Linked DNA regions of Rhinolophus ferrumequinum. The protein of the gene in region 2 purifies or fractionates together with the protein of the main gene of each other region. This does not show direct contact. Links are inferred from orthologs where the notes say so. Each region holds a gene or a part of one and is shown on either strand. Other genes may lie near its edges.

Region 1 (9,993 bases), about 31 Mb from region 2:
CTGGCTGGAGGGCTAGGCAGGCAGAGGGCAGCTTCTGGGCACCCCCACTGGCTTCATTTGCACAGGCCTCAGCGAAGGCACCAGGAGCTCTGAGCTCCCAGCCCCAAACTCAGGGCTCTGCTCTTCTTACAATACTGATCCTGGGACTCCCCTCGGCTTCTCCCTCTGCCTCCTGCCTAGTCAAGAGCAAAGTAGTTTCTACTGAAGTTTCTCTCCCATCTATGCTCTCACCCCTCTGCCCCTGCAATGGCCAAGGGCTTGCCTGCATCGGCCAGCTCTTGACCAGGTCACGGTCATAGCTTCCAAAGCGCTCTCCAGGCCTATCCACCTCAACCACCAGCTGTCCAGCCCTACACCAGAACACTCGTTGGGCAAAGGCTGCTGGCCTCCATACCTTCCATGGACACAGTATGATGAACGGGCAGGACACACAGGGTCTCTGCTTGCACAGAGCTCCCAGACTAGCAGGATAGGTCCGTAATAAACAGCTGACCGAACAAGATAATACCAGGTGTGGTAAGTACCGAGACAATGAAACGAGGTGGAGGAGATTTCTGAAAAGTCTGGTCTATGTCCCTTCTCTGCTTAAAACCCATCTAAAGCAAATTGTAGAGCTGAAGGAAAATATACAGAAGATAAGATAAAGCACATACAGGTTAATCGAAAAGTTAAGACTCTGATAGATAAATGGGCAAGGAACCAGAACAGACCGCATGGAGGGGGAAACCCAACCGGTACAAGACGTTTGGGGGAAGGTTCAACCTCAGGCATGGAAGGAAAGCAAATTCAAAAAGCAAGGTAAGAACAACAGAAAACAAAGTAACACTTCCTACCTATTACATTAGTAAAGATGTTCTCAAAATGAGAACATCCAGTACTGGCAAAGGGTGCTGTGAAACCGGCTCCACTGCTGGTTGCTGGAGGATTCTCTATTGGCACTTTTGGAAACTAATTTGGTAATATGCATCCAGAGCTAGGAAGAAATCCACACCCTCTGGCCACTTCTGCGAATCTACCCCAAGGAACTAAGTAAAAGAAGGCAGAGCTATATGCATAGGACAGGCACCAAGACGTGTAACTAAGGAGTGAAAGGGCTCAAAGCCACTGGAAGGCCTAAGTTTATTCTAGTTAAGCCCAATGTGGCTACTGAGGACTCCTCTCCTGAACCAGAGTAAGATGAGGAGGCAATGCTGCGGAGAGCCAGGCTACCTCAAGGGGCCTCCATTCACCCCATCCCTCCCTCCCTGACCCAGTGGGTCACCAGCCTGGGTTTCATCTCTGGCCATAGCCCACTACGTCCTGGCCTCTGGGATGAGTCCCACCACCAGCATCCAGGGGCCTGAGGCAGCTGGTATGTGCCCCTTTATGCCCAGGCCAGGCCTCCCTACTCTGCAGCCTGTCCAGACTGCTCCTTCAGGCCCCCTCAAGGTGCCCTCCTCCAGGCAGCCTTTCTCTCCTGGGCCAGCTTGTTGTCTCCCTCCTCTGCGCTCCAGACCTCAGCTCTCTGAGACTGCAATGCCCAAGAGCTGCAGTTTGGGAGGAAGTGGGGCCCACTTCCCTGTCCTGAGTACTCTGGGGCAGAGACTCTGTCTTCCAGTGTCTCCTATACCTCCATCCTCACTCCCAGAGGCAGAGGTGGGCAGCCACCTGGCCATGCGCCCCAAGCCTGGGGATTCCCTCCAGGCCTGCTGCAGCTGTGAGTGGGACCCTGGAGTGGCCAGGGGTTGAAGGCACTAAAGTGATCTGTAATGTGCCAGCCTGGGGTGCCTGGCTTGGCCAGGTTGTAGGCACTGAGGGTGGCAAAGTCCGTCTGATAGGGAAGTGGAGAGACACATGCCCCTACCCACTATATAATGGGGGCTCAGTATAGTTGGAGAGAGGGCCACCAACCCCAAGGGAGGTAGGTACTCCACAGGGGCCCAGGCATGCTATCTGGAGAGGACTTCCTGGAGGAGGTGATGGGAGCCTGGCTGGGAAGATGAGGATGCGGAGGGAGGCAACTTCTACAGTGGTGAAGGGAGAGGAAGCTAGGCTCCAAGAAACCCCCCCCCCTCCGGGGTGGGGTTGTGCGGGCCTCGCCTCCCGACGCCTGAAAAGTGGCTCCCCTGCACCTTTCTCCCAACCCTGCTGGCAAGCCCTCCAGCGGGGAAAGCGAGTGTTCTGTGCCCAGCGCCAGCAGCGCCCGCTGCGCTAGCAGCAGTACAAACTGGAACCTGTTGCCACCTCCGCACTGCAGGGCTGAACGCAGCCAAGGCCCCCTCCCCCGACCCTCGCCAGGCCCGCTCCGCACTCGGGCCTCGGCAGCGCCTGCTCGGGGCGCCGGCCCCTCCCCGCACCCGACTCCCGGGCGGGCTGGGGAGGGGAAGGCGGGCTGCGCGCTGGGGCCTCACCAGGCTCCCTCCGGCGGGCGGAGCCAGGCCGCGCGCTCGCCGCAGGGTGGGCGCTGCGCCCGCAGCCCCAGCCCACGCAGGGCACCCCTGGCTTCCGCTGGGCCAGGCCACTGCCCCTGGGAGGACACGGGGACGTTGCCGCCGTTAGGCCCGGTGCGCGCCGCGTGCGCCCTCTGGTCCCCAGAGCCTTCGGAGAGGGGCGCCCCGCCTCTCCCTCCATCCCCCCCATTCCAAAATGCACGGTTCCCGCCGGGCCGAGTGGCAGGATTTCGGCTGTCGCGGCCAGGTCACATGGTCGGGAGCACAACTCCCAGCGACAGCGTTCCTGCCAAATCCAGTGTCTTTTCCACCAAATCCACTTTCTGCTGGGGATGGCTTTCTGCTTTTCCTGGTCGGTCTCCTCGCGGGACTGGGAGTTCCTCCAAGGCAGGAGCGGGTGTGTGCCCGGCCCCAAGCTGGCCTCAGCTCCCAGTGCAGGGCCTGGCACCAGCCGGGCGCTCACGGAAGAAATGCTCGTTAACAAAGAAGGCATGAATGAATGAAACCAATTGTTGCACGAGGGAGCCCATGAGGGTGCTGCTCCTGCTTTTTCTCTCAGCGGGTCACACACTCCCCCCAGACATGCACAAGCACACGTGCACACACAGCTCTCCTCCCAACACACACGCAGACTGGCACACACACTGGGTGAACTCCTGTCCTCGTGGCACCGACCTACTATGTGCTGCCGCCTCCATCTAAGTGCCTGCCTCTCTGCCTCCTCCTCACCCCCACTCCCGGTGCCCCGACATCTAAGTACGGTACCTTGTGCCCTAAGTGCCTTCTTTATCTTAGGGAAGAGACCAAGCCAGTCGCTGGGGAGACTCAAGGTCTGTTTAGGGAGGCACCTGGGGCCCCTCAGGATGGCAAGCTGCTGCCCAAGGCGAGCCAGAGGCGCCTGGCAGGGATGTCACCAAATGCTGCAGCCTCTAGAGCCCGCGTGCCAGGTGTTGGGGGTGCTGGTGGGAGGGACTCGGGGATGTTCTGGGGGCTGTTGAAGGCTATTTGCGATGGGGGCGGGGCTGGGTGCTGGAGAGAGAGGATCCAGCAGGTGTGCATACATGTTGGGGTGCCTGAGAGTGCGAGCTGGGGAGTGTCAGCCTCTGTGGTGTGGGGTAGTGTTGGGGCTTCGCTTGGGGGTGGGTGGATTGCAATGTCTCTGGGCTGGGAACGTGGGTGGGGTGTCTGTAATGAGCATATGGGGAGTCGGAGATGGTGGGGGCACCGAGGGGAGCTAGGTTAGTGCTGAGAGTGCAGGGATGTATTGGGAGTATGTGTGAACCGGGGTGTGTACTGAGGCGTGGCAGGGTCTGTGATGGGTGCTGGCCTGAGTTGGGGACAGTGGTGGGTTCCGGGCTACTGGGATTTGCACTGCAGGGACCTGGGTCCACGGTGCACGGTTTGTGTTCGGGAGTGTAAGTGGCAGGGGGTGTGCGTGGTGGACGACACCGGAGGTGCAACGGTCGGGATGCAGGGGGTGTGCGGTGGCAGGACCGAGTGTGTCTCACAGGGGCGCGTGCGTCGGCCCCGTGGGGTGTGCGTTGGCAAGACTTTGGGGGTGCAGGGTGGAGGAGCGCACGTCGGAGGGCGGCCAGGCCGGGTGGGGGTGGGGGTGGGGTGGGGTGGGGGTGGGTGCTCTGGCGCCGCGTGCTCCGCTCACCTCTGCTCACCTCCGTTCCGCTCGGCTTCCTGCGCCGGCTCCGCGCGTGGCGGCCGGGAAGTTTCCAAAGCCGGGGCGGCGGGAAGCGCCACCGCCACTGCCGCCGACCGCCACCGGAGCCTCGGGCGGCGGCCTCGCCTAGAGCCGAGGGGCTGCCGCCGCCGCCGCAGCGGAGGGAAACTCCAAATCCCGCCTCCGCCGCCGCCTCCTCCCCTCCCGTCGCCGTCTTCTCCGCCCCCTGCCCAGGAGGGGCACCGTCGCCGGCGGCGCGCAGGGAGGGAGCGGGGAGGGGCCGCAGCCTGCCCGGCGTCTCCCTCCACCTCCCCCGCCCCTGCCCGCCTTCCACCCACCTGAAAGCCTTTGCTCGCTCTGCCCACCCAGGCCCCTGTCTGGATGCCCCCCAACAGCCCTGCTGCGTGGGGGCCACGAGCTTGGGGAACAGGAATGGGGTGGGGTGCCCTGACCTAGGCCTGGGCCTAGGCTGGGGGAGGGTTGCACCGAAGAGTCTCCACTGGCACCCCTGCTTTCTGCAAGAGAACTGAAGGGGCCCATCGAGGACCGGGCACAGATTGGCCACCAGGGCCACTTCCTGCAGCCGCAGGGGTGAGGGCTTAAGGTCCAGCTGACTACACTGCAAGCGCCCCCAACCCTCAGGCTCCCCTGCACTGTCCTCTCCCAATCTCACGTATCAGATTCTGGCTAATAGTAATATCGCTTGAGCTTCGGTGCCTGGAAGGGGTGGAGCCAGGACTTTGGGGGAGGGGTTGGAAGGGGGTGTTGTCAGGAGGCCCAGTGTGCTTTCCTCTGCACGGAAGGCCACAGGCATCCCCCATCAAGGAACTCCTTTTGCTTTTGCACCAGTCTGGGAGTCAGAGGAGACTATTCCCATGCCATAGCTAAGGAAACCAAGGCAGTGGTTTCCTGGTGGTCAGGCAATAATGTCGTGGCAGAGCCCCAGTGGGCTGAGATGGGCTGAGTTCCCCAAGCCTCAGCTGAGTGTGAACAAGAAGGCCCACCGGTTCCCAGATTGCTCACCGCTGTGGGGAGGGGGAGGCAGGGAGGGAGGCAGGGGGGAGCACACAGGGGCTCCCAGGCCAGTAGTCAGGTGAGCTGGGGCTCAGCCCTGGAACGAGACATGAGGGATGCTGAGAACCAGCATGAGGCTGTGGGCTGGCTTCTGGCAGGGGGTTCCCTTCTCAGCCCAGGGAGATCAGAATGAGGCAAGGACAGGATGGGATGACATCTTTAAGGAGGCTGGCAGAACTGGGATGCCAGCCACTCCATGGATGAGGGGCAGCCAAGGGAGGCCTGGCCGCCTGGCTCATGTCTGCGACAGTGCTGAATTCCCCTGAGTCATTACCTCTGGAAGAGAGAGGAGGCAGACAGCTTTGTCTTTGGTGCCTCAGTTTCCTCATCTGTACATTTGGGTAGAAAGGAGGACCTCTTGATTTCCAAGGGCCCTCCTAGCTTCAGGGCGGTTTTAATCCATTATGTGTGAGCTGGGACAGGGTCCTGCTGCCACCAGGCTGCATGCCCGCCCTGCCCTTTGGCCCCTTCCAGCCTCAGCAGATGACCACTCAGGCCCTTTCTGGGCTGCACCTGCTGGTAGGTGCATCTGCCAGGCAGGCCCAGGGTGCTTCCTGGGGCTGGGCTGTCCTTTCTCCTTTCCTTCAGCATTAGGGATCCAGTGTGGAGCAGAACTGTGCAACCTCCACCACATGGGTGAGCAGACAGAACTGTGTGCAGGACCTCCCGCTGGACGCTGTGCTTCTCTGATAGCCCTGCCGGTTGTCCTGAAATTTAGGGGCCTTTGCTAAGAAATCAACATACGCTAAACTCTGTGCCATATAGCAATAGGGCCATTTTGTCAGCCAAAACATGAAAATACATGGAGACTGAAAAAGATGGGGCCAGCTGTCACCCGTTGGTGGTCCTCCCATTTGGGGAAGACCATGGTGGCTGTGCCCATGGCCTGGGCACTCAGTTGGCCCCTGGCAAAGGCTTGGTGAGCTGACTCACAGAGAAGTTTCTGGAAAGATTGGATAACCAACTCCCTCCCTCCCCCCCATCCTGCGCTTTAGTGACTCAGGGCTGAAGGGCTGGAGGAGGAACATTTGGATTGATTGATGGTGCCCCCCACCCCTGCAAAACACCCATCCTACCCTCCCACAGTGCCTGTGCTCTCCAGGCAACAAGACTCACCAGACTGGAAGAGAAGAAGGCTAATACAATGGCCAGGCCAGGCCCAGGAGCTCTGAAGGCACAGGCCTGCTCTGCCTCAGAAAATGGGACCTCCCTCCTCACCCCCGGAGACCTGTCTTGGCCAGCAAGGCCTGGCCTGTGCCCTGTTGAAGAATAAAATGGAGAATGTTCTTGAAGAGGACTTGAGTACGAAGCCAACCATGTCGGAATCCAGGTTGTTCTAAAGGCACAGCTGGCCTCCATCTTGGAAGCCACGCCCGTGTGTTCAGGTCCTATCTGAGGGTGGGGTGACTGGGCAGCTCTAGCCCTCACTCTCTCCTCTCTGGCCATGCCCCTTTTCTCACCAGAAGCCCAAGGCTCTCAGCGGGGGACCAGGAACTGCCGGCCCTTGGCAAGGTGGAGGGGCAGAAAGCTGGGCCTTGCTTGGGATGGAGAGGTCTTCAGCCTGGCCATGCGTATTGCTGGCCCTGCTTTGACAGACTGGGCCTTTGGCTGAAGGCACCTGTACCTGCTCTGTTCACCTTTTCCAGGTCTCAATTCTGGGCTACTTTACAAGTAAGTGGAGGTTTGAGGAGAGGCCCACCCCATCTGGCCCCTGCTTAGAGACCCTGCTCCCATCTGAGGGACGCTGGCACTTGGGTACATGCACAAGGCTTTATTTCTGGGCAACCATTTGGTCCTACTGAGAGCAATACCTACAGCTGAAGCCATTTGCTCACCTGACAACCGCTCCCCCCAGGCCACCACTGGATAACAGGCTTCAGTCTCTCCTCCCCCATCAGAGGCACCTTAGCCAGCATCTTCTAGACGTGATACCAGTTGCCATACCTTCAGAAGCACATTCTAGACCCTGTTCCAGGGCACCCAACCTGTTTGCTGCAGTTCCCAGTGGGGCTACATCCGGACATTTGAAATCAAATGGCCCTGGTGACGGCTCCCAGATCTGCACTTGCAGCTGAGGTGAAAGGGTGAGGCAGCCCCAGGCTAGAGCAGGAGGGAGGGGAGTTCGAGAGAGCCCGCCTGTGCTGAGATTGATTTCTGAGGGGCCAGGTTCTCAGGAGCCATTAACACCCCCATTCCGGGAGGGCTCAGGTTCAGGTTCAATAACCTGGTTATAAACCCCCTCCGGCCAGCTGTGTTGGCTCCTTCCCCTTCTCCTGTCCTCCCAAGCAGCGGCGTGTGTGTCTGGATATACATTACAGATGATATAATCCTTGTGCTGGGAGAGAGCCAGACGCCCACACCCATTGGCTGGACAGGCAAAAGGAGGTGAGAGGGAAGAGGGGGGAGAGTTGGGAGCCCTTCCAGCCCCCACTCGGTGGAAGGGTAGGAGAGAGGGAAGCAGATGACTTCCTGGCTTGTTCAAGGGAAGTTGAGGGCTGAATGGGGCCAGGAGAGAGGGGAGCCACTGAGGGTGGAAGGACCAAACTGCTGCGACCCGCCAGTCACTTTGAGGAAGACCTCTATGAGTGGCTTACCTGCCTTTCTGGCAACATCTCTCATTCCCCCCCCCCCCACCTCCAGGAATGTGCCTCTCGAGTGAGGCCATCTCATCACGGGAAAGAAGATAATATATGAAACAGGCAGTGAGTCCAGCGCAGGCTGGGGCTCATTCTGACCCCTTGCACTGGCTCAGATGTCTGCGAGAGGAGGGGGGAGGGGGCTTCTGGGGATGCTTTGGGTTTTTCTTACCTTGTTCCTCAAGGGTCTGCTCCCGCTCTGTCACAGTACTAAGGACCCTGTCTGGCTGCATCCCCCCACCACTCCTCTGGCCCCTCCCAACACTGCAAGGCCCAGCCTGGGCCTCCTTTGGTTCCTTGCACCCAGACCAAGGCCCAAAGCCAGGCTGTGTCACGTACTGTCCCGGGGTCAGGGTGCACCAGCACCTCTCTGCATCTCTCCTGGCACCCCTGGAGCCATCACCCCCTGGTCTGGTCTGGGACCATCTCTTTGCCGCCAGCCCTGGACCTGGAAGCCCTAGTGAGTTTCTCACAGTGACTGAAATAAATGAAGGCAGGAGGGAGCTAAGCCCCCAAGGCAATGACTTGTCTAAGGCCCTACAGCCTCGTTGGTGAAGTTAGAGCCAGAACCCAGAGCTGCAGATGACAGGGACCACCTTGTCATCTGCAGGAATCAGATGAGTAGGGCAGGAATCAGAGAGTGACAAAGCAGGTCCTGTGGCTGGGCCTCTGGGGCCCAGGCTTCAGAAGGGTGCTGCGGAGGGCCAGCTCACGGAGCTGCTTGGCCACCAGACGAGAGACTCAGGCGGGGCACTCCTGGCTTGCGGGGAAGGCCCCATCCCAGAACCCTTAGATAATGAGAACAGTAGTTCTGGGTCACCGTGCTGGGAATGAGATTGATACGCACAGGTGCTACCAAACCATCCTGGCAGCTCTGGATGAACGTTCTAGACGAACAAAGTGAGGCACAGCGAGACGAGGTTGAGGACTCCAGCCAGGCGTCAGCCTCCATAGAGGGGACTGCCTCTGCCCTTGGGAGCTTGGGTCTGCTCCGGGTCATTGTTTCTTGTAGGCTTGGGGGCAGGCAGGACAGGGGCCAGCGACCCAGTCACAGCAAGGAAGGAGGCAGCTCCTGGTTGTAAGAGGGGCCCTGATGAGCTGTCCGCACAGTCCGAATCGGCAAAGAATCAACTGCGGAGAGGGCCTGGTCCACCTTTGAGTCCAGGCCAACCCCGCCAGGGTGGGGTCCTAGGCGGTGGCTGCAGGGTGACAGATGGGCCCCTACAGCAGGGGTGCCTCAGCTCAGATGAGAGCCTTCTCTTGGCCCAGCCCCCATCCTCTGTGCAGCCCCCTAGCTCTTGCTGCCCCCTTCCCACTTTCCTGCTTGAGAGGCTTGCCACCAGGAAGGCTTGGGATATTTCTGCCAACTCTGTGGGGATTTTCCATCTAAATTTAGAGTAGCTATTACCCCGCAGCCGCTGCAGTACCTGCTTCCCACATTGGTGACTCATTTGCATCTTGAGAGCACCCAGCTCACAGATTCAGATTTGGAGCCACGTGACCAGCTGTCCCTCGGGGGCCAGCCCCTGGGCCGAGGGAGGGCCAGAAGAGGGAGGGGGAGGTGAAGCCAGAGGGATCGATTGCATCCCCTCCAGAGACTCCACCCACCAGTGGGAAGGGGACAGCCACGGCCTCTCCATGCTGGACCTCCTAGTGAGGGGCTGTGATGAGTCGTTGAGCCCCTTGCATGGGTCGTCACTGTCCTGCTTGTATATGACTGTAGGTTCTCAGTCCCCTGTGTGCCTGGGCACTGTGGCCAGTCAACTTCCCACTGTCTCCTGCCTCATCATGACACCCAGCAGGCAGTGAGTACTCCTGCCTGCTAGCTGGGTCTCCCCTCATGTCCTCCCCCCCCCATTGCCAGTGCCATTTCATTATCACAGAGAGAAAAGGAAGGGCCAGTGGGGGCTCTGAGAGGCATGGCTCAGTCCGGGCCACTCTGGAGTCCCATTTGACTCTGCTTTACCAACCAGGAGCAGTGGCCTGAGACTGGTCTTCTAGCACTGGAAGCCTCTCTTCACTGTACCCCCACTGCGGGCCGGCATGGGGTGGGACCACGAGGGTAACACCGAGCCCAATTTGTCAACCTGACATTGGAGAGCTGGCCAGAGCCACAGGGACTGTGACGGTGACCTCAGCTTCCCTGTGGCATGCTGGCCTGTCCTGCCTGTGCTCTGCAGCC
Region 2 (9,446 bases):
ATGGCTTCCTTACCCATCAACATAGAAAGCCCTCTTTTGGAATACCCAATTCCATTTGGAAAACGTAAGTGATGTTGATACTTTAATCATTATGTAGTGGATAGTAAAAGATCTGTTGTTATTAAACTTTTAGTGGGAGATGAGGGTAAGGGGGATCAAATATATGGTGATGGAGGGAGAGCTGACTCTGGGTGGTGAACACACGGTGTGATTTATGGATGATGTGGTGCAGAATTGTGCACCTGAAATCTATGTAATTTTGCTAACAATTGTCACCCCAATAAATTAAAAAAAACCAAACTTTTAAATAACTAAAACTAAATCAAAATGTTATACATTATAATTAATTTCCTGTGATTTTCAAATAGCTAATAAAAAGGCCATAAAAGACTATTGCACCCATCCAGGTAATAATGGGTCCACAGGTCAGAATTCAGTTTTAGGACATTGAACCCAAAGCCTGGCTCTGTTCTGGGCACCTGGGCTACACCAGGGAAAGTTATGGTTTCTTAAGATAATAAACACTAAGGTTTTAGTAAATGAACTAAATGCATTCTAATATGTTTTAATGAGTCAAACATATCGTATAGAGATTTTTGGTTGTGAGACTGTATTAAACATTAACATGTGGCACCTGCAGGAGAAATCATTTTATAAGAGTATTAGAAATCTATCCACATGTTACATAATCTTCACTGTCAATAAAGAGATAGCACAGAGATCAGCTCTATCACTGTTTTTGGTGGCCTTGAAGAACAGAAGACTAAAAATCCTAAAACTATCATGGGAAATAAAGGCTCAATCAATATCCCAAACTAATTCTATAAAACATTAGAATGCTATTACATATATTATACTGAACTTTTGTCTAAGAGAGCAGTGACTTATTCTGTAGGTACTTAAAGTGGATGTTTATACTTATTTAAATATTGCACAAATACATAAAAAGAATCCAGTGTACTTTAAACAATGTGTGTTTCCCCAAAGGCTGACTGAGTAGCAACCCTGACATTAAAAAGTTTGTAGGTAACCACTATGTCAAGTATGAAAATGGGTCAAGTTTCAATATGGCCTGGTCACCTGCAACCTCAATCCACCAGGCTTTTTTCAAATTAGATTAACTTTAAGATCAACTTTTAAATGTTATCACCAGAATATTCACTCCATGGAATGTAAACTCCATGAGCCGAGATTTGTTTTTTGTTGTTGTTCACTGCCATAGCCCCAGCACCTACAAAAGTGCCACGCATAGAATAGGCACTCAAATGTATAATTCTTAGGAATCCTTTGTAACATGAAGTATCCTTTCCACATGATGTCATACATTCATGGTATCACGGGCTTATAGTGCAGGGGAGAGACTAAGAGTGGGCCATCCTTATGATTTTAAAGAGGGACAACTACTGTGTTTCCCCGAAAATAAGACCTAGCCGGACCATCAGCTCTACTATGTCCTTTGGAGCAAAAATTAATATAAGACCCGGTATTATATTATATTGTATTATATACCCGGTCTTATTTTATTAATATAAGACCAAGTCTTATACTAATTTTTGCTCCAAAAGACACATTAGAACTGATGGTCTGGCTAGGTCCTTTTTTTTGGGGAAACACGGTAAGGCCCACAGAGAACAATGCTTTGCACTGGGTCACACAGCTAGTCAATGATCCAACAAGGGCTAGAACCCAGGTTGCCTGACTCCCAGTTTTGTGCTCTGTGCACAGGCCTACATTCCTCTCAATGACTTTGCAAACTACAATCATATGATGATGCCTCATGCATGTGTTTTGACAACTTTATGATATAGCTCAGTAATAACAGGTATTTACACGATTATGTTTATTGATAATGCCTCTAGGTGTGCCGCTGTAAGTGACAATACAGGTGTGGTTTTTAAATTATTTTGACAGTTACATGTCTGCATTAAGTAGGTCTATTAAATGATCCACAAGGAAAAACTGCTAAGTGAGAGATCCTTAAAAATTTTAACATATCTGATTTTTTTGAGTCAGACTGGGAGACTAAGACAAAGCAGAAGTGGGAATGGCCAGATTGCTGCCTTCTATACTCTTCCAGAGCAGCAGGGAAGAGAACGCTGTCAATGTGGAAACGTTCCCTGAGCTCCCTGATTTTAGAAGAGTCCATATTGGAGGAGTTAAAATAAAATGTCTTCCACCTCCTCTGCAAATACTCTTTAAAGCAGAGCTTTCCAAACCTGGCCTGGGGAAGCATGTTAAAAGTGCAGATTCCAGGTGATCTCCCCCAGAGACTCTTCCGTTGTTAAGGTGATTAGGCCAGAGTCAGTAGGTTAACTCATTTGCATCAGGTGATTCTGATCCAACCAGGCTTAAAAAAAAGCCACATCACTAAGGCACCTTCAAGCCTGCCTCCTCCAACAGCTCAGCAGTCATCCATCCACCCCTCATTTCATTATCCTGAATCCCCACACCCAGCAGCCTTCAGAGTCCTACCCCTTTTGTTTCTCAGGATCCTCCCACTTCTCCCTCCCTCCATTTTAATTTTTTTTTTGGCTTCTAGTCCTTTCTCTCCTGATGTAGTTTAAACTACTATATTACCTCCTCATGTTGCTACATTCCCATTGTCCACCACATCCAGCCTTTATTCCTCCTTCAACCAGCTCCCTTCCTCCTACGGAACCTCCCTTGTTCAACTTCCATCTTTTCCCAGTCCGCCACACACAGCGCGCGCACACACATGCCACACACATACCTGACACATGCCACACTCCAAGCACGCGCGCACGCACACACTGCCCGACAAGCCACATACACTGACAATGCACACAGAGCGCACACTCACATCATTCACCCCCACGCACGATGCGTCTACCTGCTGGTAATCCCTTCTCCCACACCCTCACATCCGACCAAGGCTACTCCTGGCGTCATCGGCCTTCACGTCCTCTCCAAGGCTGGATCTCCCTCCTCCAGACCTCCACCCATGCCTCCCTCAAGACACCCACATTTCCTTTCTTCAGCCCAACACCGCACCCTCCTTTCAGGCAACCTCAAACCTAATACCTTCGAAAATCCCCCAACACTGCGTTCTGCTGTGCCCCCTAAACGTTTCCAGACTCGCGATTTTATCCACCCACCCCGGCTTAAGGGCATCAGACTCTCCACCCCTTATCCCCGCGTTAGCGGCGCGAGGCCGGGAATCTGCGTCTCCCACTGGCCCGCAACCCTTCTAGAGCGTCCCTTGCCCGCGGTGGGAGCCGTCGGGCCATCACCGCCTGCCCGCCCTCACTGGCTCGTCGCCATTCTTCCCCCCGGGGACGCTCTGCTCCCCCCTCAACCCTCCCGGATTTTGCCCCGTGCCGGGGCCCCTTCCTTTGTCTCCGCGTCCCCAGGGCGGGCCGCCATACCGGGCCCGTAGAACTTGCGACCTTTGGTCACATCGAACACCTTGCCGTTGATGGCCATGAGTATGCGCGGGTCCTGGACGCCGTCAAAGCGCCGCAGCTCGGCAGGGGTGAAGTCGCGCCGCTTAAGGCGGGGCAGCGGGGGCGGCTCGTCGTCGTCGCTGTCGCTGCTGGCCGCCGGCTGGTCCCCGCGCACGATCTTGTAAAGCAGGAAGATGCAGAGACCGAGCAGCAGCAGGTTGAGCGGCGACATGAAAATCTCGTTCAGCAGCCCGCCCTCCATCTCGTTCGGGTCAGCGCCCGTCGCCACCACATCCTCGGCAGCCATGATCACTGAAGCAAAGGTTTGAGCTGGGTGGGGAGGGCTCCGGAACTCGCTGCTTTCTCCTCCCTCTCCGAGAGCTAGTGACGCCTGAGGATCTGCGGACAAGGACTAATCAGGGGAGGAGGCGGGGGAAAATGGGCGGAGCCTCCAGCCCCTCCTCTCCCGCAGCCGCTGTTGCGCGCGGCCCGGCTGAGTCCCGCCCCGCCCAGCCCAGGGCCCCCATCTTCCTGTGGATCGTAGCTCCCTTCCCCCAGCCAGATCCGGCCTTCCAGCCAGAGAGATCGCTGAGTCCACCCCTCAGTTCCACCTGCTTGGCCCAGGTCCCCACTAGACGTAATCCTCACGCCAACTGGCTCACGGCGACGCAGGGCGTAGCCCTACTCCGCACCCCGCTTGCTCCTGGCGCAAAGACCCCCTTGGAGAGCCTTGGTTCTGCTAAGCTCTGTCTGAGACCCTCTGTCACTTCATGCCCACCAAACACCGACTCCATTTCTCTTGCTTCAGGCTTCTCCGTCGCCTCAATTTCGAAGCCTCATCTTTCCCCGGCCATACCCCAGGGCCTCCAGGCTTTCTTGGAAGACAGGAAATTTACTCCTCGAGCTCCTTTTTCCACCTTTGAGACCCAGCCTACCCATTTTCACCTGAGGAACCCCTATTCGCTCTCATGACGACACTTCTCCAATCTCCCCCCGCCCCAGACGCTGTGGGGTGAACACCCCCGGGATAGCTAAAGTCAGTGTACAGGCCCCCATCTGACAACTCCCCCCCAAATCTGGGAAAACGATCAGATTGCGCGATTTACTATGGGTTCTTTCTCAGAAAACTAAATCCTTTTGCGATCACTGATTTGCTCAGTCCCAACGCATCAGCAAGCAACATTCTGTTGTGCTTTTTTTCCCTCTCAGAATAATGAGAAAAGTTTCTTTGACAGCTTTCTATTTGAAGTCTATCGAACGACGCTTGGCAGTCATAATAACCCTGTGCTGAAGCCCGGACGAAGGCGGGAGTTTGGAAGGATCCTAGTAGATTTGGTTCCTTTCTTTCCTAGGTATTTCATCCAGCCTTTGGTGTGCTAGCCGGCTGCACAGGAGCAGGTCTTATGGAGGAAGGGCTGTCTATACCCTTTAGAGTCTTAATCTGGCTGCCTCTTTATTGTGGCAGGGGGAGGGGAGCCGAAGAAAAGGTGGTGGGGGGGGGGGATAATTAAAACCAAGCCATGCCAACATCTGCAGCCCAGAGCTGTACTTTTCCGTGAGGAATTCTGTTCGCTTGCACATAACTTACTCCCCCTCCCAACAAGCAGGCTTCTTACTTCAGAATTCTGAAAATTTCTGGCACAAACAGCTTCCATCCCTGCCCCCATCCCATCTTCTTAAATCCTTTAAAAATGCATGTGAGCTGAACAATCTTTAAATCTGCCCACGCATTTTTTTTCACAGATCTAAATTTACGATAAGCTGAAATGGTCGTTTTAGATCATTTGTCAAACTTCTTCAATTTAATCAAGGGAAAACAGGCTCAAAATCAGCTGTACTTAGGATCTAATTATCTTTTTAAAAAATTGTATGGCCAAGACAGTTTTACAAACCAACAAACTTGTGAAAAATATTTTCATTTGTAACCAATATAATAGACAAAGGGTTGATATTTTTTAAGACCTCATTTTAATTGACAAGAAAAATCCAGAAGACTCTAGATAATAAATGGGCAAAAATAGAAATAGGTAGTACACAGAGGAGGGGATACTAATGGTGGATAAGTATATGAGAAGTGTTAAGTCTCACTAGCAATAAAAAATGGAGATGGAAGGAGAACTGACTCTGGGTGGCGAACACACAATGTAATTTATAGATGATGTGATACAGAATTGCACACCTGAAATCTATGTAATTTTAATAACAATTGTCACCCCAATAAATTTAAAAAACAATTAAAAAAAAGAAAAAAATGGAGATACCGCTGTCATGCTCAACGTTCCTATAAGAAAGATAAAAGCAAAAAAAAAGGATGGTATACAATGCTGGCAAGCGAGTGGTGAGACTCTTGTCATACCGTTGGGAGGAGTAAAAATTGGTATAACCTTTTGTTATCCATAAAAATATTTTCTATCAATTAATCCCACCTCTAGAAGTCTGCTCTTTCATCCAGTAATTCCACTTCTAGGAATCTATCCTAAGGGAACACTTAGAAATACAGACAAAAATTTTATTACTGAGATGCTCATCAGAGAATCATTTTTAATATGGAAAAACTGGAAATAACATGAATGTTCAATTTCAAGAAATACCTAATTAGTCGAATTCAATTGTGACAGAACTATTAAATGGTGTATGATACAGTCATCCAAGTATTATCATGACATGGGAAAATACGTGTATTTATGTTTTAATCTTAAGCAGCAAAACAGGATACAAAACTATATACAGTATGAACTCAACTATGTAAAAAAAACCCCACAAAAAATGAGTAAGCGGTAGCACGAAAGGAAACATGCTAAAATGTTAACTGTTGGGATTGTTACTTCCTTCTTTATTCTTTTCCACATTTTCCACAATAAGCACATGCCCTTTTAACTTCGGGGAGGAAAATGGTTTATTATTCCTTTTCTGAAAAAAAATGTAGAATGGTAATACATGTTTACTATAACAAACTTTATATGTACGTGTATAAAGTAAAAAATGAAACTCATCTCCCTCTCCCAACTCTCCAAACAATCTTTAGATCCGGCCTGCACATTAGCAGTTTGGTTTATATTCCTGTAGACATATGAAACACAGACACAGACACACACACACACACACACACACACACACACACACAGATTTTTACTTATAAAACTGGGGAATTCTTTATTTGTATTTTTAAATTACAGTTGACATTCAGTATTATATTCGTTTCAGGTATATATCTTAGTGGTTAGACATTTATATAACTTCTAATGTGGTCCACCCAATAAGCCTAGTATCCATCTGGCACCATACATAGTTATAAAAATATTATTGACTACCTTCCCTATGCTGTACTTAAAATAATAAATGATTCATCAGTTTTTTTCTAATAAAGAGATACAAAGTAAAAAATAAGAATAAGCCATTAGCTCCCACCCAGATAACCCCTGTTGGAATTTTTTAAAAGTCATATTCATTTAAGGTGAAAAAATTCAAACTATGGGAAGATACAAAAGGTAAATTAAAGCCCCTTTCCCCACCCCTGATTCTCTCTCCTCAAAGGTAACCACTATTAAAAGTGGGGGATATGTCAGACAGAGACAAATACTGTATGATAGCTCTTGTACGAGATCTGACAATTAAGTTCGCAAACTTGACACTGTGTGCTTACATTGGCAGCACTGTACAAACAGCTCGGTAAGGTTTCATAACTTTGGTATGTCAGTGTCTCGCAGCTGTGTTTGTGTTGACGTGTGGCGGTGTCTTGCTGAGTGGCGTTCATTATTGTTGTTGTGTGTTTTTGTGTGCTGTTGCGAGAATGTCTGAGCTTGAATTAGAACAATGAACAAACATTAAATTTCTTGCTAAACTTGGCAAGAGTGGAAGTGAAATCAGGGACATATTAGTCCAAGTTTATGGGAATAATGCCATGAAGAAAACAGCAGTGTACCAATGGATTAAATGTTTTTCTGAGGGGAGAAAATGAGTCACTGATGAAGAGAGGTCACGGCAGCCAGTAACGAACAGAACTGACAAAAACATAGCAAAAAATCATCGAATTGTTTATCAAAATTGTCAGCTGACTGTGAGAAGCATAGCAGACTACGGAAACATCGATAGAGAAACAGGAAAATCTTACTTGAAAATCTTGGCATAAGAAAGGTGTGTGCAAAAATGATCCCAAAGGAGCTCACTGATGAACAAAAGCAAAGGAGAGTCAAAGTTTGCCAAGACCTTTTGGTGAGGCAAGGTGATGTTTTGGGCCATGTTATCACTGGTGTAGCAATAGGACCCTGAAACAAAGCATCAAAGTGCACAAGGGAAATCAGACAATTTTCCACGACCAAAAAAGTTTCGTCAGTTCAAATCAAGAGTCAAAACAATGTTGCTAACATTTTTTAATATTGGAGGGATTTTCATTATGAATTAGTACCAACTGGACAAACAGTTAACCAAGTTTACTATTTGGAAGTGCTAAAAAGGCTGCATAAAAAAGTTAGATGAAAAAGACCTGAACTTTTCGCCAACAATTCATGGCTTTTGCATCACGACAATGCACCAGCTCACATGGCACTATCTGTGAGGGAGTTTTTAGACAGTAAACAAATAACTGTATTGGTACACCCTCCCTACTCACCTGATCTGGCCCCCAATGACTTTTTTCTTTACCTGAAGATAAGGAAATATTGAAAGGAAGACATTTTGATGACATTCAGGACATCAAGGATAATACGATGACAGCTCTGATGGCCACTCCAGAAAAAGAGTCCCAAAATTGTTTTGAAGGGTGGACTAGGCGCTGGTGTTGTTGCATAGCTTCCCAAGGGGAGTACGTCGAAGGTGACTGTAGTGATATTCAGCAATGAGTGATGTAGCACTTTTTCTGGGATGAGTTTATGAAATTAATTGTTAGACCTTGTATAAATGCTTTAAAACCAGACTTGATGTTAAGTAAAGTGGGATCTTAGGTAACACTGCGATGTTGAGATTGTTGAATAAAAGCATCCCACCAGTCTGGCTCATGTCAGAATATTGGGTGGAAAGGTCTTGTCCATAATGATAGTTCTCAAGTTCTCTGGAAGTAAGCAAGGTGCTCCCGACTAAAAAAACCACTTCAAAACATGAAAGTTGCATGTTCTTTGGCTTCAAATCAATTTCGAAAGCCTATATATTTGACCTGGGGACTACTTATTTCCCAAGATATGTACGTTAAGTCTTTTAATGTTTCCAAACTTCCTGCCTCCTTTAAATTATTTTCAAAGATTTTTAAGAGCTTTTAAGGAGAAATAGCACAATTGGCTGATTAGCTAGAAAATGTGTGGGAAGTAATTCAACCTCCCTAGTAATCAAATAAATCCAAAGGAACATAATAGCAAAATACCATTTTCATCATTCAAATTACTGAAGTGTTCTTTTTGCCTTTGGCTTCTTAAAGCATTTTAAGAAAGGTAATACTTGATGTTGGGAAGTATGTAACAAGACAAGAACTCTGACACAATGCTGGTGAGAGTGAAATTGCTAGAATGAAAGATTAATTTTGTTCACCAATTTATTTAAGCCCCTAGACCATGTCTGCTATGTAGTTGGTGACCAATAAATATTTGTTGAATTAAAGTACATTGTGAGTGGGTCCTTTCAGCAACATACATTAAGAGTCTTAAATTATTCATAACCCGTGACCAAGGAATCTAACTTCCAGAAATTTTTGCTAGGGAAGTACTCAGGGATATGAACAGATATTTGTATAGAAAAATCACAAAGCATGATATAATAGCAAAAACCTGGAAACCACCTAAGTATCCAAGGATGCTCCCCATCTCACTCATAGTAAAAGCCCAAAGTCCTACAAGAACCTACAGGATTTGATCCACCCCACCCTACCCTTACCTTTAGGACTCTAGGACCTTGTTTCCCACTTCATTCCATTACTATACTCTAGTCATAGTGACCTCCTTGCTGGCCTTCGAACAATCAGGTATATTCCAGTTCCTTTGTACCTGTGATTTCTTTTGTTGGAATGCTCTTCCCCAACTATTCTTATGTATCATTCTCTCACTGCTTTCAAATCTC

What was found.
Region 1: the proteins of PGRMC1 (region 2) and DUSP9 purify together in Homo sapiens (affinity purification with mass spectrometry; 3 studies listed by BioGRID). This does not show direct contact. The link is inferred for Rhinolophus ferrumequinum from reciprocal best matches to the Homo sapiens genes PGRMC1 and DUSP9.

Annotation. Positions count from the first base shown.
Region 1 is NC_046284.1:6,764,550-6,774,542, forward strand, and holds the start of DUSP9 (dual specificity protein phosphatase 9), read right to left. Parts: upstream 4,266-9,993; 5' UTR 4,100-4,265; exon of another isoform or gene 4,090-4,099; intron 1-4,089. UniProt on the Homo sapiens protein: Inactivates MAP kinases. Has a specificity for the ERK family.
Region 2 is NC_046284.1:37,651,947-37,661,392, forward strand, and holds the start of PGRMC1 (membrane-associated progesterone receptor component 1), read right to left. Parts: upstream 3,812-9,446; 5' UTR 3,712-3,811; coding exon 3,387-3,711; intron 1-3,386. UniProt on the Homo sapiens protein: Component of a progesterone-binding protein complex. Binds progesterone. Has many reported cellular functions (heme homeostasis, interaction with CYPs). Required for the maintenance of uterine histoarchitecture and normal female reproductive lifespan.